4 linked regions of the Schizosaccharomyces pombe genome follow. The protein of the gene in region 2 binds, or shares a complex with, the protein of the main gene of each other region. Each region holds a gene or a part of one and is shown on either strand. Other genes may lie near its edges. The genes, in order: mrps17, SPOM_SPBC3H7.04, cox24 and rsm19.

What was found.
Region 1: SPOM_SPBC3H7.04 (region 2) and mrps17 share a complex: the UniProt entries of both Schizosaccharomyces pombe proteins name them as parts of the mitochondrial small ribosomal subunit.
Region 3: SPOM_SPBC3H7.04 (region 2) and cox24 share a complex: the UniProt entries of both Schizosaccharomyces pombe proteins name them as parts of the mitochondrial small ribosomal subunit.
Region 4: SPOM_SPBC3H7.04 (region 2) and rsm19 share a complex: the UniProt entries of both Schizosaccharomyces pombe proteins name them as parts of the mitochondrial small ribosomal subunit.

Annotation. Positions count from the first base shown.
Region 1 is NC_003423.3:1,164,514-1,169,469, forward strand, and holds mrps17 (mitochondrial 37S ribosomal protein uS17m), read right to left. Parts: upstream 2,785-4,956; 5' UTR 2,692-2,784; coding exon 2,419-2,691; 3' UTR 2,007-2,418; downstream 1-2,006. Other genes in the region: protein mim2, read left to right, coding at 329-372; rib4 (6,7-dimethyl-8-ribityllumazine synthase), read left to right, coding at 968-1,009, 1,297-1,734; rRNA processing protein Tsr2, read left to right, coding at 3,021-3,287, 3,549-3,821; DNA recombination protein Saw1, read right to left, coding at 4,174-4,536. UniProt on the Schizosaccharomyces pombe protein: Component of the mitochondrial ribosome (mitoribosome), a dedicated translation machinery responsible for the synthesis of mitochondrial genome-encoded proteins, including at least some of the essential transmembrane subunits of the mitochondrial respiratory chain.
Region 2 is NC_003423.3:1,873,009-1,878,517, forward strand, and holds SPOM_SPBC3H7.04 (mitochondrial 37S ribosomal protein mS42), read right to left. Parts: upstream 3,774-5,509; 5' UTR 3,552-3,773; coding exon 2,889-3,551; 3' UTR 2,646-2,888; downstream 1-2,645. Other genes in the region: F-box protein Pof9, read left to right, coding at 1-312; SPOM_SPBC3H7.05C (uncharacterized protein), read left to right, coding at 1,451-2,524. UniProt on the Schizosaccharomyces pombe protein: Component of the mitochondrial ribosome (mitoribosome), a dedicated translation machinery responsible for the synthesis of mitochondrial genome-encoded proteins, including at least some of the essential transmembrane subunits of the mitochondrial respiratory chain.
Region 3 is NC_003424.3:4,759,600-4,765,385, forward strand, and holds cox24 (mitochondrial 37S ribosomal protein mS38 ), read left to right. Parts: upstream 1-3,443; 5' UTR 3,444-3,479; coding exon 3,480-3,636; exon of another isoform or gene 3,637-3,678; coding exon 3,679-4,049; 3' UTR 4,050-4,623; downstream 4,624-5,786. Other genes in the region: proteasome assembly chaperone Ecm29, read left to right, coding at 1-447; SPOM_SPAC1782.02C (uncharacterized protein), read right to left, coding at 702-1,052, 1,153-1,287; splicing-associated factor Saf3, read left to right, coding at 2,208-3,275; ypa2 (serine/threonine-protein phosphatase 2A activator 2), read left to right, coding at 4,850-5,786. UniProt on the Schizosaccharomyces pombe protein: Component of the mitochondrial ribosome (mitoribosome), a dedicated translation machinery responsible for the synthesis of mitochondrial genome-encoded proteins, including at least some of the essential transmembrane subunits of the mitochondrial respiratory chain.
Region 4 is NC_003424.3:383,747-389,468, forward strand, and holds rsm19 (mitochondrial 37S ribosomal protein uS19m), read right to left. Parts: upstream 2,425-5,722; 5' UTR 2,404-2,424; coding exon 2,361-2,403; exon of another isoform or gene 2,298-2,360; coding exon 2,192-2,297; exon of another isoform or gene 2,142-2,191; coding exon 2,009-2,141; 3' UTR 1,475-2,008; coding exon of another isoform or gene 1,379-1,474; 3' UTR 1,315-1,378; coding exon of another isoform or gene 1,240-1,314; 3' UTR 1,140-1,239; downstream 1-1,139. Other genes in the region: pre-ribosomal protein Loc1, read left to right, coding at 574-603, 734-844, 1,240-1,314, 1,379-1,474; tif313 (translation initiation factor eIF3m), read left to right, coding at 2,598-2,648, 2,712-2,868, 3,040-4,040; methyltransferase complex regulatory subunit Trm112, read left to right, coding at 4,654-4,669, 4,706-4,875, 4,975-5,067, 5,113-5,214. UniProt on the Schizosaccharomyces pombe protein: Component of the mitochondrial ribosome (mitoribosome), a dedicated translation machinery responsible for the synthesis of mitochondrial genome-encoded proteins, including at least some of the essential transmembrane subunits of the mitochondrial respiratory chain.

The sequences.
Region 1 (4,956 bases), 710 kb from region 2:
GAATAGGAATAGATGGTGGATTTTTTTTATTTGCTTTTAGTTTCTCAAAGAGGAAATAAGTTTTGCAAATAATTGAATAATAGAGCAAAAAAATCCGTTTTTGGAGAAAGATTGAGCACAACTGATTTTCTTATTCCATCAGCTTGAATTATAGCTTTTTCTTCCTATAAACTGTTTTTAAATGGTCTGCTTGTTGGTCTACATTTACATCTTTCGTTATTTTTTAAACATTTTTGTTTCCATTACTGTTCTATTAGTCTTTCATTCTTAACCTTTTCTACATCCTTAAACTTCTGTACATTTATTGTATACTAACCCTTGGATTTAGCATGGGCTCGCTGGTTAGAACGGAGGCGCTTGGTTAGTAATTAAAAAGATTTATTTCTGAATCTTCTTACATTCGCTGGTTTAATACTTATTGTTTCTGTTTCTATTATGATATTGTGTGATGAAACCCATAGTGTGCCATTCGTTCTCGGATGAAATTCTCTTTATGATCTGAATAAGAATTAATGAATATTTGATTACTGTATAAATCAATGTACTCGACATTTATTAAATTGTAACGGTTTTTGAATCCGAACTTCAAAAAAAATTGGAAATGTGTGTATTCATCGTTTTGCTTATTGATACTATTCATTATTTTTTCCTTTCTTTTTGTTCAAATGAACAAACTGTTTAGTAAAAATGAGACATTTGCATCTACGACAGCCTCGACATATTAATAAACGACGTTAATGGGGTGACTATTAGTAATCTATGTTCCAGTATTATACCTGCCTCATCAGATAGTAATTTCATGACTAAAATTAAAAAATTAATTAGAAATCAACATTTCTAGAACCTTAAGTATTAGATCTGTTGATTCTGTAAATCAGTTCTTGCTGCAGCTTATAAAGCACACGCACACCAAACTTGCTGCATTTTTCTGTATAGTCTTCACAACTATTTAATCAAGTAAATAATCATGTTCAGTGGTATTAAAGGCCCTAACCCTTCAGACTTAAAGGTATGAATCAAAAATATGAACTTGCGGTGTTTTCTTTGCGTTTCCTATTTAGCGCTGCTTGTTTTCACTTATATCCATGAAAAGAAGTTCGATATGTTTTTTTTTTTTAGTTGAACCTTTTCTTCTGAATACCGAATTTTATTTTATTTTCTACACGATATAATTATTGCTTAAGTGTTCTATTTACAAAAGCGCTTGGTCTTTTTTTTTTTAAATTTCTCCTCTTTCTCACGCAGTTTTTTCGTGAAAATAGTTAATTCAAAAGTTCTAATCAATTTTTTTTATAGGGACCAGAATTGCGCATTCTTATTGTCCATGCCCGCTGGAATCTTCAAGCCATTGAGCCTCTTGTTAAGGGTGCCGTTGAGACCATGATAGAAAAACATGATGTGAAGTTGGAGAATATTGACATTGAAAGTGTTCCGGGAAGTTGGGAACTTCCTCAAGGTATTCGTGCTTCCATCGCCCGCAATACATATGATGCTGTTATTGGCATTGGCGTTTTAATCAAAGGTTCCACCATGCATTTTGAATATATTTCAGAAGCTGTTGTTCATGGTCTTATGCGCGTTGGCCTTGATTCAGGTGTTCCCGTCATTCTAGGTCTATTAACAGTTTTAAATGAAGAGCAAGCTCTTTATCGTGCAGGTTTGAATGGTGGCCATAACCATGGAAATGATTGGGGATCAGCTGCTGTAGAGATGGGATTGAAAGCTTTGTATTAATTAAGTTGAATCCTTTGCTCATTTTTTTGTTAATAAAATATGCTACTGACTGTTTTGCTCTTCGAAAGGACCTACTGACATGCTAAAGCTTTAGTCATGATCCTTTATACATTGTCGCTTTCTTATGAGCACCGTCTTAGTTGAACAAGTATGTTTTTCATTCAATCGTTTGCAACGTATTTTCATGATTCCCCAGTTTGTTAAGATATACAGCTATGGGTTAATGTATACGATGTTTTAAATTTGCTTAAGACTTAATCCCAACTTATTATGTTTTGTAAGCTTTATTTTGAATATATTACTGTCTATATGCATCTTGTTCAATCACTTGCCCTTTTTACAAAAAAAGATGTTACAGAAGTATTATTGACATAGTTGTAAACAAATTTAAAGGCATTGAATGCTGGGAGCAGGAAACATGGTACTACAAGAGTAGTTTTCTTTTAGAAATGAATGTGATTTGAGACTCTTCTGATGCACAATCTACAATTTGCAACATTACGTAGCCATTGTGAATGTAAAAATTTCCAGTTAAAATCGATATCGGTGTATACAGGTAATTGGCAAGTTAAGAAAGAGCGGTCAATCACCGATTTACAATATTCATGACCACCGCGAAAGACTTATCACAATGGATCAATCGAAATCATTAGGAATCATCAAAAATTAATGGGGATTTTTTATTTACTCTTTCGAAATCTCCGATGCTGGGCTCATACGGTTGGCTGTGCTTAAGATTTTTATGATTTCAAAGCGTTTAGTCGCTGACCGAGGCCTACATGGCTGTATTGTAACTGCATCTCCAACATTACAATTTAAATCATCTTGAACCATATAGTTTTGATATTGGGTGACATACTTTTTCACCACTGGATGGAACTTTTCTTTTGCAACCCGCACTTTCGCTGTTTTTGGCATTGCACGAGAAATCACGATTCCCACATAATTTAGCTTCATTCTTCAGAGTAATTTTAGGATTAAACAAGAAAAGTAAGTAAGTCTAATCCTTTAAATACCCACAATAACTAAGTTATCAATGCGCACCGTTTTAGCAGTAGAGAGTTTTGACATTGCCCTATTTACAAATGTGCAATGAAGCGGCGTCTTTTCCCTTATAATTATTTAACATAAATAAGCTTTCCTTAAGTCAATTAATGATAATATATAAATGTGATAAACAACATAACGAGGATCGGAAAAGTATGTGTATTTTATTTTAAAGTACTTTATGGTAGGGTGACTTTGTAGAGAAGAAGAACGAGGGTTATTGACACTGTGTTTTCGCCATGTTTGACGACCCATCTAAGAGACTGACATATTTTGAATATGCTGTCGGTGTTCTTTTATGTTCATGGCCTGTTATGAAACAGGCTGTTGAAGAAGAATGGGCCGATGTCGATACCGCCGATAAACGAGACTGGATGGCAGGAGTTTTAGTTGATTATATTACAGTTACGAGCGATGTGGAAGCATGGGACGTTGAAGAATTGATTCTTCAAGTCCTGCAGGATGAATTCAATGTTGGTTCAATAGAAGACGACTCACCCTATATCGTAAGTATTCACCAATACTAAATTAGGTAAAGATTTTTTTCAAACAAGAAAGAACGTAACAAGCTTGCTTGAGACTGAAGATTCGTATATATATATTGGCACCGAAAAAATGATTTAAGTTTGAGGACGAAATATTGGAATATTAGTCAAAAGCTCGAGTTTATACACATATTGCGTTCTGTTGTCTATATTAAAAATTTTTTACTTCTATTAGCATTTAAAATAATTATCAAGTGATACGTCTATTAACAGTCTATTTAGTTGGCTCAAGATTTGGTTAATGTGTGGAAAGCTGCTTGCGAAGATAATTATGAACCTATTCGTGAAATCCATGAGCGTCTCGGAAAACAATTGCTTGAAAAGGAGGAAGGAAAGGAAAAAACTAGAGAAGAGTCAAATCCTCCGGTATTGGTAGAAGACGAAACGATTGTTGATGCTGAGGATGGAGGAGCTGCTCAAAATCAGCAGGAAAAGCAGCAGGGACCCATTGTTGATGATGATGGATTCACCGTTGTCCAGAAAAGACGTCGTTAAAGAGGATGTACTATTCTTATATCTTTTGGTATCATTAAATGAGCATTATTGCTGGGAGCAATTGGTTTTATCTTTTTTGTATTTTGGGGGATAATAAAAATTCAAGTTTTTGGTTTGAAAATTGAAAATTGGGATCGAAATAACTCTTATATTTTTTAAGCCTTTGTAATCCGTGTCATAAGAAGATGTAGTTAAAAGTATAGAAGAACGTGATCCGCCAAAATACGAATACGAGTTAAATTGAGCAGCTTTTTCACTTCTCAAATTTTTAATACTTGTTTTTTATGAGATTAGGCTGTAAATAGAGTGTATTTTAGTCATGCAGACGTAAAAAGGCGCAAAATACATTCTTTCATGAATCGAATGGTTGTACATAAATATGTATTATTTTACTAGTCATTGATCCTTTAAAACTCAACTGCAATTCTGGCTTTCGATCCATGTTTTCCTCCTCTTCAGCAGTATTTGGTAGTGCAAAATTTCTAGCAGTTTCGATGATTGCATGGCTTTGGACCGATTCACTCGTAATATCCACTACTCTTTTCTCGTAGAGCGTGCGGATGGATCCTTGGTTGAGAAATGCAACTGCATGCAATTCACGCTGTAGGGAAAAAAGGAAAGCCCGAATATCAAGGTCTTCTTTTGTTTTAAAATGAATTCGAACGTGACACAACAAGTTATGCCTCAACCTCACAATTTTCTCAACAGAACACATTTGCACCTTGGTGTCTGGTTAGATACGGGAGGATGGTCAACCATAGCCAAAAAAAGCAAATGACAAAACTCTTTGAATTTCTCAATACTCCATGTATTAAGTTAAATTATATACAACAAAAGACGACTTATAAATTTCAATTCTAAGATGGGAATACAGTCAAGTAAATGAGTCGTAAACATAACGACTTTTTAGGAATGCTATTTATTATTTATTTTTTAACTAGCCAAGTAGTTAAGTATATGAACAACAATAATCCTTCAAAAGAGAGAATCTAACAACAAATAAATATATCGAGATGTAAACGATCAAAATGGTGTCTTTTTCATTATAGCAAACGAGCAGACATTAGGGCTAAAAGTATTGTGAAAAGTAGTTGTGACCAACATATTATCTTTTCGATTAAAGCAAAAGTTTTTC
Region 2 (5,509 bases):
TTACGTTATTGTGGGTGTTTAGGTTTGGGTTCTCTTCATTTGCAAGAACAGACATCTGATCCCAGCATTGTTTCTGATCCACGCACCGCACGCAACATCGTTTCCATTCCACATCAAATTCACTTTTCAGGAACTTGCTATTCAGTTGCAGCCGGCGGATGGCAAAGTGCTGCTCTCGCCATTTCGGAATCTGTTTTACCCGAAGTCAATGTGCCTCCAATTACAACTTTTTCTATCATCCGACCATCCAGAGTTCCAGCGTTGCGCTTTTTAGCTGCCCCTGCGACTCGGACTTTGGAAAGGGACGGCTAGGTGAAATAGTGATCAACTTTGCTTGGTAAGCTAATTTCCGCGTGCGCACTAGAGAAGGATTTTATTTTGTCCGCTAAGTAAGTGAAATAAATAAATATCTCGGCCACCTCGGACTTCCGAATTTATCTCTATTTTTACTAATTCCTCTAGGTAAGCCAATTATAAAAAAAAGCAGCACAAGGAAAACACAACGGTGATTAAATAAGTGAGAAAATTTTTTTTCCTTCTTCCTGTATCGCAATTACATAAAGTACACACATTGACCAATTTATATTCCTGACCCCTGTGAATTAAGTTACTGTGCTACTACGACGAGTTTTTACCAAACATTATTATTTTTTTTAATTGATTTGGACTGTAAGGAAGGTTACCGATTTTCATATTAAATCCTCGGTGGTCAAAATTTGTTGGGCTCTTGCTCTCTATTTGTCGTTTGCGTTGGTGGTTTGTAATATTCCTAACCACCCCATTTTTTTCTGGCGACCCTAACTTGGGGGTTTTGTTTACAGATCCAGGTGTCGAGAAAACCGGTATTTTCAGGCAGAAATCGATCTTAAGAGACGATTTTTTCTTGTTGGGTTGACTACCTTGTACCTGAAATCTGTTGTGCGAAAATTTCCAGATTTAAAAAATCGTGGATTGATTGAAGGGCAATTGAAGATTACGGGATGCTATTTTCCTTTTCATGCAATTAGCAAGTATTACTGATTTATTTGTAATTCCACAGTGTCTGATTTATTTTTGTTAACAACTATATTATAACACTTTTTTTTCTTTGCCTTCATCATCATCATCATCATCATCGTTGTTCTTTGTTTCTTTCAATAAGCATTTTGTCATTTTCTTTTATCATTATTGTCTTTTTTTCATATTTTTGTCGGTTGACTGATTGATTGTAAATAAAGTCTCATAGTTATATAGAGTGTGGTTTGCCTTTTCTTATTGTTTCGCCTTGTCTTGTCTTGTCTCGTCTAGTGTTGCTTGTATTGTCTTACCCTATCTGTTCTTTTTCTTCACTTTTGTTTTAACTGCGAATTTTCTTTCTTACTTTTTTGCTTTTCTTCCTTTCCTATTCCTCCACTATAAAGTTTTCGGCGTTTGATCATCTACGAACACGATCTAAAATTCAATTACTTTCATGTATCCATTTTCTTTCGATCCTTCTTCCAAACTTCCAGTCACAGGTATTTATAACATCCTTCTGTTCAATCTATTCCCTTTAGCTACATACCTTGTCGAAACCTTTTGTTTTTTTCGCCGGTGGAAAATCGCCTGCACTTTGTTATGTTCCATCACGGTTATACTGGCGTATCGCATGTGTGCTGTCTATCACCATGTTGGTTATAAGGATGTCTCTACATTTGGTTTGGCATATGGCTTTCTCATTATGATGTCGCTTCGAACTTGCTTTTTGAGTTGGCGAGATATGGTACCTTCTCGCAACGATCCTGTACAAATCAGCGCTGTTAAGCGTCGTCGACCATTCATTCGTAACGCTAGGTGGAACTTTGTTGATTATGCACTTTCTTTGCGCAAGTATGGTTGGACTGACGACGTGGTTCCCCCTTACTGTAGAAAAGTGCTGACTTACAAATCTTTGGGGATACGTACTGCTGTCTATGTGGGTGCATTTTGTTTTGTCAATTGTTTTAAAACTCGTTTATCCAATTGGATGTTGCTTCCTATATCAGCCAACCCATGGTATATTCAAGTCGCATTTTGCGTAACCTCTGGATTCTTTTCATATTTGTTTATTAATGCCTTGTACTATTTATTCGCCATTATTTTTGTTCCTCTGGGAATTTGGGATATTGCAGAGTATCCATTAATGATGGGAAATGTATCTAAAACCACCTCGGTTAATGATTTTTGGTCCAGAGATTGGCATGTTTGTACCAAGCCCTATTTCAGAGTGATTGCTTGGGATCCAACTATTGCCCTCACTGGAAGTAAGTTTCTGGCAAGTTGTTCATGTTTTTTCCTTTCAGCATTATTCCATGACTTTGCCTATTGGTCAATTTCTGGACGCTGTTCACCTGCTTTCTTTTTTCAGCTTTTAATTCAACCTTTCCTTATTAATCTTGAAAAAAGGATTCCCCTCTTGCGCAAATATCATTATTGGGTCCTAATAATCGAAATGCTTATTAATGGAACATATGGTATGGGAGTCGTATTATTAAAATTTAAGTGGAAAACATGCTCGCAAATTTAATTTACTGTTTAATGTCTATGTTTGACCTTCCGAAACCTCTAAAGTATCAGATAATTGCTATGTGTCCTAGTTTATACATTTAATGGATGGTTCAACTAAATTAACTTTTCCGTAGATATTGTTGGAATGTTAAATAATATATAGAGGGAAACATTACATTTAGCATTCTAATTCTCATTCTTTGCCAACAGTAATTACAAAACTTTATTTATTTATAAGATTTGTTAATAGTATGGGTTTTTTCAATCAGATAAAGTGAACCCATAGTAAGCCACCATGATCACTTGCATACAAAACGTAGCCGGGAGAGGAGGGGAGAGAAGTAGAAAAAGATTGAAAATTGTGCAGGATTCAGTCGGGTTAGCTAAAGGGATTCAATGCGCGTAGCTTGGAATCTATTGTTGACGACCGTCCAATTGATCATATCCCACCATTTTGTAATGTACATTTTTTTACCATTTAAACCATAGTCGTCAAGATACGCATATTGCCAAAGGTTAACGCATAAAAGCGGTACAATTGCATTGGTACGAAACTTAGGAAATCCTGTTCCCCAAAGAAAGGCATTTGACGCATTGTACGTGCATAATAAGGAAAATAAAGATTTTTCTGGACTATATACCAACCACAGCCAACCATCACCAAAAACTGAATTGCCAACGTCAACCATTTGAGACTTCAACTCACCAAATGAACCGAAGGATGCATCAATTCCAGGCTTTAGGTTGATAGCTCCTAAATCTGCATCTGCAGAGGGCCGTTCTGGAGAAATAAGGCCGGAAAAGAAAAAATCATGATTTACCAATTGGCTAGAGTAATTGAATAAATTAGCGCGGGCTGGGTCACTAGCGCTTTGAACCATTAAATCTGAAGGCACACGATACGGAGTTTGATGAATTTTACATTCTTTTTGTACTAGGCCTCGTAAGTGGTTGTCATAAGCAAAGATATTCCTGACCGCATCTTTTGACAAAAAATTCTTGTAGCCCACGTCCAACGCTCTGGCGAAGCGCTGTTGAAAACTCATTTGTTAAATTGAGGTAATAGTTAGGGAATGGGTATAAAAAACTGCAATGGAAATCAAGTATGCGGGTTTAAATTTTGTAATCCTAAGAAATTGGCAAAGACGACCAAACTGTATAATTAATTCATTAAGTATTAACAAAATATGAAAATCAAATAGTGTAGATGCTACGTTTTTGAATGTTTGAAATATTTCAACTTCAATATTGGTAAAGGCGTTCCACTCAGACCGCTCAGAGAGAGGTAAGCAGCCCTACTGGCGCAAGTAAAATATCGGTATGAAAGTTCTGCATTCCTTGTTGCGATATATACCATTATACCACTATATAAATTTTTGAAGTTGAATTAACAGAAATCTAAAACTTCGTTGAAACTTAACTAGTATTACAATGAATTTGTTAACAAGTTTCCCAAAAAAAATTGTGAAAGTAATCTTAAAGCGTTCAACGGGTTTAAACGGTGGATTATAAAAGCCTTTATTCCCAATATGACCATGATTCAATTTAAAAGTAAGCTGTATGACTCATTTTCAATCAAATTTACTTCGTCTTTTATAAGAAGATTCATTGACTTGAGAAGAAGAAAAATAACTTTAATATTCGAATGATCACAACTTTTATGTGAAAGAACTGTAAATATGTTAAACGTTTATAAATGACAATTGTGGCCGTTTGGTCTAGTGGTATGATACCATCTTAGGGTGATGGTGGTCGTGGGTTCGATTCCCACAACAGCCCGATTTTTTTTTTTGTCTCAGTAATTCAAGAGACCCTCAAATTTTTTATGTAACCGTTTAGATTGCAGCCTAATTGTTCAAAAGCTTACTCAAATTTGATCTAAACATTCGTGATTAATCGTTTATGAAACCATACGCTAACGATTAATTAGGAATTGATACAGGTTCATAACACCGTTCATGGATTGGAAACATCTACCATTTATTTTTAGTTTTAGTTAACTAAAATTGTAAGTGCACTGCATTTTTTTCGAAGCTTCATTTCTTTCATCGTTCAAAAAGCTGCTTTGGCAATAAAAAAAAGTTTAAGGTTATTTTTAGCCGAGGCTACTGGGATTGTTTCATATGCTTACAAGCGAAATAGGGAATAACTAGCTGCATACAAATGTTTTTGAAGAATACCTACCATTGGGGCTGAGCTAGAAGAAATATGGGATTTGAGACAAAAAGATTACTACTATATTAAGGAAGAACTGCTGAAACTTAGACGGAATAACCCAAGTATGCATACATGCTGCCAAGCCCGGTCTTGTTGCAATTTCAGGCTCTACACAACAGTAACAAGTGATTTATGGATTACGGATACTTTTTTTAAATTTAATATTATCTGGTTATAGTTAAAATAGAAGATTGTTTCACTATCCACTAGTTTTGGATTACATGCCATTAGTGATCAGGGCTATAAGCGAATAATTTTCAACGTTTCATCTGACCCTGGTACAATTTTTTCAGTAAGTCACATATTTATTTATTTTTATCCAAAATAAGAGCTAGATGCGTATTTTTTACAGGCCATGCCACAGTCTTTTTTAATTGCTAATGTATTAGACTGTGTCAATGGTACGAGACATTACTAACGAGTAAAGGTAATTTCTTCTATAGGATAGATTAAATATACCACCTAGAATTAGCGATGATTTTTACACAAACTCAGCATGTCTGTTTTGTAATTACCAATCCGTTTAATTTATTTGATGTGCGCTCAAAAGATATATAACAATAATCAAGGACAAGAAGCATGAATAATTGATGACATACTAACATACATTTTAAATAAATTTTTGTAATACAACTAACCGTAATACATCGGTTTTAGTAACCATTTTTGCAATTGAGAGTATATGTTCCTTCAGTTTAGCTAAGGTCTATTTATAACATTTCTTCTCAATGATGTCGTAAGTATTAATTGGTATTGATTGTTTTCGGGCGGTCGAAATGGTTTGGGA
Region 3 (5,786 bases), on a different chromosome or scaffold from region 2:
CATGCAATGGAAAGTGTTGGTGAACTGTTATCTGATGAAAATTATAGAGAGCTTGATTTGTATGAACTATCATTAAATGAATGTGGTACATTTTTGCAGAAGGAATGGTTTGATAAAGATGATGAATTGAATCTTGAGGAAAAAATTGCGCTTCAGCGCAATAGCGTCTATGCCATGTTTAATTCCAGCAGACCTGGAAATAAGAATTGTAATGAGATGTTGCTAACTTACTTGTCAAATGCCCTTGATGAAAATTATTTACATTGGAATGTGAAATTAGCAATTCTGAAAAATGCTCCTCACTTAAAAAAGATAATGTCTAACGAGGAATTCTTACTGTATAAAGATATTCTTTATCGTTGTTACGAAGACAATCCGTCACCAAAAGCAAAAGATTATGCTGAAGTCATCTTCGGCGAAAATTATTTAAGTGTTTTAAGAAATTAGCTTCATTATATTTATAGCTAGTGATAAAGCTGATCAGCCATTTGAACTTTCTAAACACTCATTTCTAATGCTAACATTGTAAAGGATTAATTAAAGAATATTTTATACAAACCTTTGACTAATGTATTCATATTTGATTTTAAACCTAGAATGTAAGCGATTGATGTTGAAAATCCAATAACGATAATAATAGCTTTTACAACAAATAAACAACAAGTGAAGAATACTAGATGCCAGTCACTTGGTTTTTTTTTTTAAGATTCTTCAACTTCACGTGCTTTTCTAGCGGCTAATTCTTCGGCCTTTTTTTGGTTTTTCAAGTATTTAGCCCTCTCTTCGCTCATTGCTGCAAACATCCAAAACTGCCACATCAAATCGCAAAATGCAAAAGTAAAAGTAAGGCTGTTGCTAGCGATATGCTCTTTTTTGAGGTAAATAAAGCCGGTAAGGATAAAGTCAAATATAGCACGAATTGGAGTAATTCCACTGAAGAACAGGAAATTGCTTTGTAACAATGAGATAGTATAAATCATTCCAAGAATCAAAAATACCAAGCCGGACAATGCAAGAGTCGATAAGTTGTCTTGTGTTACTATCAATGGTTTCTAAATTATAATGGTCAGATATCACTTCAAACATTAATCAAGAAATTAAAAAAAAAAAAAAAATACTATCTACTAAAACAATAAAGTTATAATCACATACAACTTCCATAGAAGCACCAATTAACGCGACCAGTCCACTTTCTACTACAAACTTGGGATTCCATAAAAATCCAATGCCAGCAAATGTTAGCATACAACAATAAAAAAGAACTATCGCTCGAAAAGAGAACAACATCGTGAAATCAGAAGACGACAAATGAGCAACTATTAACTTCTAGAGACTGTACTCCGTGGTTTAGAAAGAGAATGTAAAACTAATAAGTTTTTTTCGGAAAGAAAATGTAGAGAGTTTCGATGAATATTTCGTTCGTACTTTTGTTTTCTCAACGTCGCACCAATTATATGCACCTGATTTTTGCTATTTTACGGTAGTATCAAGCTCTGGGAAGTATGTACTCTCAATTAATGGTTATATTACGATAGTTGAACTTAACTTCACTATTGTTGCTAGTTGCCAGCGCTCGCTATCTGTATTTAGAATTAGAAGGTGAATTGAATTGAGAAATATAATCAATATAACAAAATTACAAGTATACGTTTGGTTTTATTTCTTCAAAGTTATTTTGGTATGAAAAAGTGAGATGCTGACAGATTTCAAGTCAAGAACTCTATATTTTTTAAAACCACTTCAACGAATTTTAGGATCTTGAAAAGTACATCATTTTTACTAATTATAGGAGGGTATTTTCAAAGGATATATTGTATGTAGCATCTAAATAATTTTTATGAAGGTCTCAAAGGGTTGACAACGGTTGTTTTTGGAAATACATTACATTGACCATAAACTGAAACGATGTATTTTACAAAAGGCAATTCAATTTTACAAACTTTCAGCTAAATATAAATTATGCCAGGATTCTCGTTCATTTGACTAGAATGTGTGCTTGTGATATTTGTTCTCGCATTGGTAAGTGCCCCGAAACCTCTTTGTAAGTGGCACCGTACCACAAATTGCATACATACAATCTATTATATCAGATATACAGTTTTATCTTGGGTGGTAGATAATAGATATATAATTTCCAATTCATATTTATATTGTTTTACCGGTTGATTGAAATTTGCCAACCAATTTAATAAAAAGCGTTTGTCAAGATGCCAATAGATACACCGTTGATACCCCATAAACCTATTTCAAGATATCGCTCTGGTAGATTGGAAGGGCTGGAAAGTGAGTCTTCTTCTGAAAGTGATTATGAAGAAGTTTCCGATTCACATGATCAAGAAAACTCGATTTCTTCATCAAGACATGTTATTACTCCAGTATTCGAGAAAGAAGGAATATCTGAAACCAAAACGTCTTCTAATTTCCAAAACATTAACCCAGTCCAAACAATTGATAACTCTGCTTCAGAATATGAGACTGACGCATCATCGGCAGAAGGGGGATCTAACTCTGCAGCATCTAGTTCTGAAGAAGAAGACTCTTCTGATTCGGAATATGAGATGGAGCTGAGAAGGCGGACACTTCTTCTTCCGCCAAAATTTACTAGTAAAGTCATCAAAAATCGGGCAAAAGCCAATGAAGAAGATACTGAGGTGCTTAAAAAAGTGACTTCACAAAAAATATTAGAAGAGACTATAAAACGGGAATTACTATTGAAAGAAACTAAAAACAATAATGAATTATTAAATGATATCGATGATACCGATGGAATTGATCCGCAAAGTGAATATGAATTATGGAAATTAAGGCATTTGCTTAGGAAAAAGAGAGACAAGGAAAAGTCACTGGAATTAGAAAGGGAAAAGATGGCAATTGAAGAAAGAAGATTAATGAATTCTGAGGAACGCGAAGCCCAAGATTTGAAGGACGCTGAAGCAAGTCGGAGAGGAAAGAAAAAGTCATCTATGCAGTTCTTACAAAAGTACTATCATAAGGGTGCATTCTATCAAAACGAAGATATTGTGAGTAAAAGAGATTATTCAGAAGCCACAGAAGGGGAAGTTCTTAATAAAGATTTATTACCCAAACCTATGCAAATTAGGGGAGATCTTTTTGCGAAGGCAGGCCAAACACGCTGGACGCATTTGGCAAATGAAGATACTACAAAAGAAGGATCTGCTTGGTATGATCCTAAAAACCCAATCTTGCAAAAAAATTTGCATCGTCTCGGTGGACTTCATTCTGACAGCCCACTCTCGAAGCGAAAACGTACCTAACATCTGTATATACATAAGGACAATTTTGTATTTCATTTAGCATTAATTTTATTTAACATCACATATATATTTAAATACAACATTCTTCTGAATTAATATCAAATGTGCACCACCCTTCCTCTTTGTAAGTGTTTAGCATAAGCATACCAATTCTTACCTTCCCGCAGTGCAAAGAGTACAACACATTTTTCGCCTTGGTCACCCATGTTACGAAGAGGTGCGCTTTCCACAATATTAAAAGGTTTAAACGGCCTTTCACTGCGTAGTCCCATACCGATTTGGCATGTTTCAGCTTCTCCCGAAGTTGGGTCGAAATATAACCTACCAACGGTTCCTACAACTTCACACGTTTCATATCGTCGTAAGTAAATTAAATACTTCTATTTCTAACTTCATTGCGTAGAAATCGCAAAAGCAAATTTCTTTGCTGGATATCGACCTTTGTCAGCTAATCAAATATGTGTGCCTAAAGTTGAGTCCAAAACACAAGTTTCGCAATCGCAGGATGAGGAAGATCAACCCCAGGAATATGTGTTATCTTTAGAGGATGGCTATTTGTATGCTCAATCATTCTCTGCATCTGGATCCGTAACTCAAACTCAACCCGCTCGTATATCTACTCAAGTATGGGAACAAATATGTGATAAGCTGATTTCTATTACACCTTTAGATTTGACCAGTGTCAAACGAAAAAGAAAATTGAAAATGAATAAACATAAGTTCAAAAAGCGCTTACGCCGACAACGAGCACTTAGGAAACGTCTAGGAAAATGAGATTATTAGAACTTATTTTTACTCGGGTTATATTTTTAGGTTGGTTGGATTGAGAGTTTAAGCTGTAAACAAGCATTTTCAAAATGGCTGCAAGCATTTATGAGTCTCTATTTTTAACTTGGATATCAGTACCTCTCTTTTCTTAAGAAACGTTTAATCATTTAATGTTTACTTCAGGCTTTTTTAACAAGGAATACATTTTCTCTCATGTATATTCTATCCTTTAATGTTCCGGTATGAGACAATTAGGTCGGTGCTTTTTTCTTGCGATAAAATCATTAAACAATCCGCGTTTATTTAACTATTTTCAAAAAGCGGAGCACTTATTTGTTTATGCCGGCTATCTCCTTCATATCAATTAGCTTCCCATGTCTAGTACTATTACAATACCTCCATCTTTGGCCCTTCCTTTTTATATTTTTAAATATTTGTCGATGGCTAGAATTAATGACATGTACACTTCATGTGAATCATAAATATGTTGTTGTATATCAAGCAATTAATAAACGCTTATTACACTGTATCTGTTTACACATAGAATAAAAGAACACATTGGTATGAAAAATAACTTTAGTAGTCGAAATTATTTCCTTAAAACAATTTTGAAAAAAAAAAAAAAAATTTCTACATTTCTTTCTTTAAAAAATGTTCTCACTGATTATAGCTAATTACAATAATGAAATGTAACGTACTGACGACTGACATAACAAATAACAACATAAGGAATATTGAAGAGCGTCCAACTGTATAATTTTTAAGGCTTTTGTTAATCTTGTCTTAACCGATCAAGTTATGCCAACATGCTTTCTAGAGAAGAGCAAAACCGGTGTTTCGTTCCTGTCCGACGAATTTTAGACAATGAAGACTTAAAATTATTTAAAGAAGGAGATGCTTATAAGTTAATTGATTCGTTTATTTGTGATCTTGACGAAGCTGTGAAAGACAAGCCTATTTCAGCTTCAATTCCGCAAAGCTCATCAATAGAGCATGTATTAAATATACTAGATCGAGTTGGAGAAATTAAACAGGAAAATCCTGCAATTGATAATATGGGGTCGAGGTTTGGCAATCCTGCATTTCAATCATTTTACGATCAGGTATACATTGAAACACCAAAGTTGCACCAAGTATTTGGAATTGAGCATAATGCGGCGATGGAGGCAGGTCGATATTTTTATGAAAGCTTTGGAAACAGAAAGCGAATAGATTATGGAAGTGGTCATGAACTTTACTTTATGTCATGGTTACTAATTTTAAAGCAACTAGGCATTTTTACTAAAAATGATTATCCAGCATTGGTCGTTCGAGTTTTTGTTAAGTATGTTGAATTGATGAGGTCTTTGCAAATTTTTTATACTCTCGAACCAGCAGGATCTCATGGTGTATGGGGATTAGATGATTTTCATTTCCTCCCTTTTTTGTTTGGTGCAGCTCAGTTGGTTAATCATAAATATTTGCGTCCCAAACATGTTAGAGATCCAGAAATTTTGGAGATGTGTCGCGCTGATTATATGTACTTAGGTTATGTTTACTTTTTAAATAAGTTGAAGCCTTCTGTTTCACTACGTTTCCATTCTCCAATGATTGACGATATTTCTGCCGTAAAGACTTGGTCTAAAGTCAACGAAGGCATGATAAAAATGTATAGAGCAGAAGTTTTGGGTAAACTTCCTATAATGCAGCACTATCTTTTTGGCCATTTAATCCCAGCTTCACCTGGGATGTCTCCTGCTCCCC
Region 4 (5,722 bases), on a different chromosome or scaffold from region 2:
CTATGGGGATGCTAGAGTGGATGAAAACACATCGATCCATGCAACTCTTGTATCAAGCTGGAATTGCAGTTTGTCATTGTATGACGCTTACGCTTACGCTTCCCTTTCCCATTCCACTCTAGCTTCTCCATTTTTTCACTGTGTAAGCCGTGCCTCCTTCCCTTCATCTCCATCCTTATGCATCTCTATTATCTTATGTATGTATGTATATGGGTTTGAAGCCTCCTCCTACACATTCAATAAATCTCCGACAACCTCACCGACAGCATTCCGATTTTCACCGACAATACTCCGATTCCTCTATAGACCACCGGCACAACTCCGAGACCATCTCCTTAAAAATTGTCTCCGGCAAAACTCCGTATCTCACCGAAAGTCCCGTAAAGCGCACTGGTAGTTTAGTTGCAAACACTCACTGCCCGTACAAAAAAAAATTCAATTCGTCTCTAGCTGATTGCTTTCGTTTCTTACTCGTCGTTTCATTCTAATTTCGTTTTTGGATCTTTAACGTTTGCATTTCTTCTATCCTTTTGTGCCTTGCTAAATCATTTTACGACTTTTTATATTTAGAAAATGGTCGTGAAAAAATCTAAACCAAAAAATGTATGCTCCTTCTTCCTTCACAATTTACGAACCATGTAAAAGGGGAGTTTCTTTTCTCTTCTTTAAATGTTTCTTTGTTTACTTTTACTGGTAAAATCGAACCCTTTTTTCTAACTTTTTCTTTTTGTAGCAAATTCGCGTGGAGGATTTGGACCTTCCCAAGCTAAACACTTCTAAAAATCCCCAAACTAAGATTCAGAAAAAGGGGAAGAAGAAGGGGAAAATATTTGCTGAAACTAAGGTAATTCATTCTCACATCCATGTTCTTTCATTATAGATGTTGAAAATGCTTCCATTTACTCAACAAGTAATATTCAAAAACATTAAACAACAAAAATCTCAAGTCAGTGTGGTAGATGTTACGATGATAAATATCTCTCTATATAAATCCTACAAATCTTGTTTATAAACTTTCAAGGCCCTGAACCCTATTCTTCCGCATTCGTTCCTCTTTACCACCAGATCCGACAAATAAGGTTTTAAGTGAACTTGCTGCGCTTTTTGAGTCATGTAATCTAATTTTTGATCTGATTTGGTTTGTTTGTTTTTTTACTTTTTGATTTTAATTGATGGGCATTCCTTCATCTATTTATTCATTTTCCACATTCATTGTTCATTAACTAATTGCTGTTACAGGATGACCTTCAAAATATTCTCAATCAAGTTACTTATGAGCTTGACGATAAAATAAAATCTAAACTTCAAGTGGCTGTAAGTATTTCCATGAATTATTTTGATTTCAAGTTTCAGTCAATTTACTAACTATTTACGTTAGCACGAGCGCGAAGCCGTCTTTTCTAAACAATCTGACAGAAAAATCAGCAATAACAAAGCTGATAAAAAGACGGGTCGGAAAAACGAAAAGAAATGAGTTATTCAATTGTTATAACGACACTTCCAAAGATCCTTTTTTTCGTATTGCCTTTCAATTATTAATTTTTCATTTTCTTTTGGGATATCGGGTTCATTCGGTTTTTCGATGCTGTTAATTATTCATTATACAGACTACTAAATAAGTACAACCAATAACATTAAACACATAAGCCATTGCGTTTCAAATTTAAAAATAAAAAATCCAAGTAGGGGAATGCAAAATTCTTTTGTAAAACATTGACAGAAAATTATGCAACATCATATCACTTTTTCATACATACATTTATACGTGCAAGTACATCCATTGGAAGAAGTGCTGTCATTAAAAGCCTGAAAGTAATGAAAAGATTCGGCGAATTATATATTCGCTTTCTTACAGGAAATGTCCTACAAAATACTAATATGGTAGCTCCATTTAAAGTCACGAATTGAAATTTTGAGGCAGACTTGAAATTCTTGGTAGTTATGAATCCATGTGAAAAGTGTTTTGAATAGGCCATATAGCCCAGTTTTCGCCAAGAATCCAAAATAATTACCGATTTTTAGTTTGTCTGTAATGAAATGCTTTTCTGGTAGGTGCAAATTCACCTAATTTATGCCCGATCATATCTTCTGTAATTTTTACATTGGCATATGATTTACCATTATGAACCATAAATTGAGCACTAGAATTTAGTTAGTTAACGTCCACACTTGCTAAATACGAGTATCATACCCAACCATTCTAGGTAAAATAGTTGCAGATCGCACAGCTGTTTTTATAGGAACGTTTCCTTTAATACATTGCTGAACGTTGACACCGAAATCGACCACGTTGGGTCCTATAATGTCAGAATAACAGGTTCTAAATTATTTTCAAAACAAGTATATTTATATTCATTTACCTTTCCAGACTGACCGAGCTCTGGCTACACTAGTCCAAAACATGAGGTGAAATGTTAGAAAGCTAGTTAATTGCTAATGCAGCAATCGTTAATAAATGTGAGGTAGCAACCTGGTGTTGTTACTTCCACTTCGTTTTAACCATTGAACGAGGTGGAGGTGCCAAGTCCTACTCTCCAACTACCACTAACAGCGAATATTTGCATTTCTCGTCTGCTAGATTCGTATTAATAACAGAGATGGAAGGCTCTGATTTTATTTTGGTAGTTGACTCTTCCGTAGAGGAACAGGTATGTCGCTAATGACTCGGCGATTTTTGGTAAAACTTTTTTCAACTAACGAAATTTCAAAAGGTGGAAGAATTGGCTATGTATTTGGATAATCTTGAGGCTAATACCGATAAAAATGTACTTGCTCTTTGCCGAGAATATTTGGCTTCTGAAAATGTTAAAGAAGTTCTTAATCTGTTTCTGACTCGCTTGCCATTGTTGGCACAAGCACCTGAGAAAGGTAATGCAAAATAGTTTTAGGCTAGGAAATTAAAGAATTATTTTAATAAGTGCTAAAGGGCATTTGTTATATTGTTAGTTCTGAAAGTATACTATGAGCTGATGTGTTTGGTTTGCAGCTTTCCAAGTTTTCGCTTATTTTCTCTTCCATGCTATTACTAACACGAAACAGAACTCGAGCCTATTTTAGCCGTCTTTATTAATCTTATCCAAGAATCTGCTGCTTTCGAAGATCATGTTTCTAAATTTTGCCAAGCCTTAGAGCAGATTGCCGATCAAAACAACAATCTCACTCCTGCCATACTCAGTGTCTTAAGCATTTTATTTAATACGGCCGTCAAAGAACGTCAACACGCACGTTTAAGCATTCTTACTAGTGTTGTTACTCTCACTACCCGTTATTCCTTGTTTAGCACTCTTGCACCTAATTTGAAATACTTCCCTGACTGGCTTAAAGAAGCTGGTGTCAGTGTATCGGACCATCGGGCATTTAATATTTTTGTTTCTAAAGCTATTCAATCATACGATGATGAGCAATCATTTGCTTTCCTTTTGGAAGCCGTAAAAATGGACAACTCAACTGCTGACGAGGCGGTTCGCGAATTAGTTCAACGCGCTGTTAACAGCCCTAAGTACTTTTTCTTTGATGATATTGTCACCCTTCCACCCGTTCAGCAGCTTGAACAAAGTACTTTACAGTTACTTGGTATTTTGTCCGGCGGGATGACCGACGATTATGTAAGTTGGGTTGCCGAAAACCATGCTCATTGCCAACACCAAAAATTTGATGAAGATGCAATTGCACGTAAGATGAAACTTTTAACTATTGCTTCATTAGCTACCCAGGCTCCCAATAATACATTATCCTATGGTGATGTAGCCAAGAGTTTGAAGATTGATGAAAATGAAGTAGAATTATGGATCATTGATGTTATTCGTGCTGGACTTGTTGAAGGCCGCATGTCTCAGTTGACTAAAACGTTATCCATTCACCGTAGCAGCTATCGTGTCTTTGGTAAGCACGAATGGGTTGCTTTACACGAAAAATTAGCTAAATGGGGTTCAAGTTTACGTTACATGCTACAAGTAATGGAGCAACCTTTATCTAGCTTTACTATAGCCTCTAGCAAAAAGGGAAATAGAGACGGATCCGCGGTCACAGCCTCTGAATAGTTCATTAGAAAAATAAAATAGGATTCTGATCATTAAGTTTCACCTGTATTAGAGTTACCTTCAATTACGTGGACTTTAGACTAAAGATTTTCTTATAAATTTTAGGTTGCAGTACACTAATAAATAGCAGACCAAAAGCGAAGAAGTTCAAAGCAGCAATCACTTTCTTTGTAATTATGGATGTATCCGTGCAAGACTCTTTTTAACCAAGAGACTTCCCTAATTATTTCTGTCGTCAACTTAAAGAATTTTTTGTACACTAACTAAAAAAGTAACCTACAACTGTTACGTAAAATTGAGATTTTAAAAAAGGAAAGAAGATTGACTCCTAATTTTGCAAAATGATTAGCTTTATTAAATCTTTTGTTTATATCTAACAAATCTGTCAACATTCGTTTTTCCTAACGCATAAATAACTTTGACTTAACATACATATATCAAGTGTTGCTTACCTGACGTTACTTAAAAAATTTTTGTACCATAGCTACTGGCAAATTTAAGAGTTTTCGACGACTTGATAGTATTTATATTAGAAATCTTTATATTTTCTTTTGAAATACAAAAGCGGCTGTAAATAAATTATTCAACTTCTTAAATACTTGAAAGCAAAAGAATGAAGCTACTAACAGGTACGAACTTCACAAGTCAGTTTATCTAATGAATAGCAAACTTCTTAAACTGTTCTAATAAAAAATGCACAAGCTCTCCTGAGGCATTCCCGTTGGATGTGGTTGATGCGAAATTGGCTATTCAACAATTAGAATTGAAACCGGAGTTCCTTATTGGAATTATGCCCAGAATCGATTGGAATGCTTTGTTAAAGACAACGAGACAGGTTTGTGCTCTTATAGTTGGATTGATGAAGAAATGATATGTTGTGTCGGATTAAAATTTTCATAATCCAATGTTGTTAAGCCAATCTAACCATAACTAGTTGGGTAATTATAGTTTACCTGATGAAAAGCCCGATCTTGTTGATGATTCCGATGAGGTGCTATTGAAATCTCTTCATAATGTTTTACTAGAGGTATGATTCTAAAAAGTTCAGCTGTGTTCTAACCTTAACTACTAGACTGAAATCACAGAGGGGAAAATGGTTTGCGGGAATTGTGGACATGTGTACCCCATATTTGAAGGAATTCCTAATATGCTGCTTTCCGAATCAGAAATTTAAGTTAGGTGCTTGGTGCCACTTTGAAAGAATTAGGTGTTTGAAAACTATTGCAAAAGCTGCTTTATCTTTATTTTTGGGACTGTGGATATTCGGGAAGAATCATATTCGCATTTGGTTTTGTTTTACTATTTTTGTCAAAATGAAATTGACATTATTTTTGATACTAAAGGAGTTGTGAATGAGGTTATATGAATACTTTTCAAAATTTGGTTTATATTGGAAATAGCAACTAGTTATAAATTAAATATCGAAGCAGTATGCTAAGGATATTAAACTATAATAGTATGCGTAATAACTGTATATAAAACTCATCACTTTGACATTCTTGAAAAATTGATGTACCTGAAAAATACTTCCTGAATGTAGTTAATTTCTATTTTTCTTATCAATTATTTTCGTGTTCAATTTTGTGATCTATGATTAGTGTTTACTTAACATAATGGATTAGTATGTGATTTGCTTAAAACCTAAGAACCACATTCATCTCCAAGTACCAAGAGCCTGATTT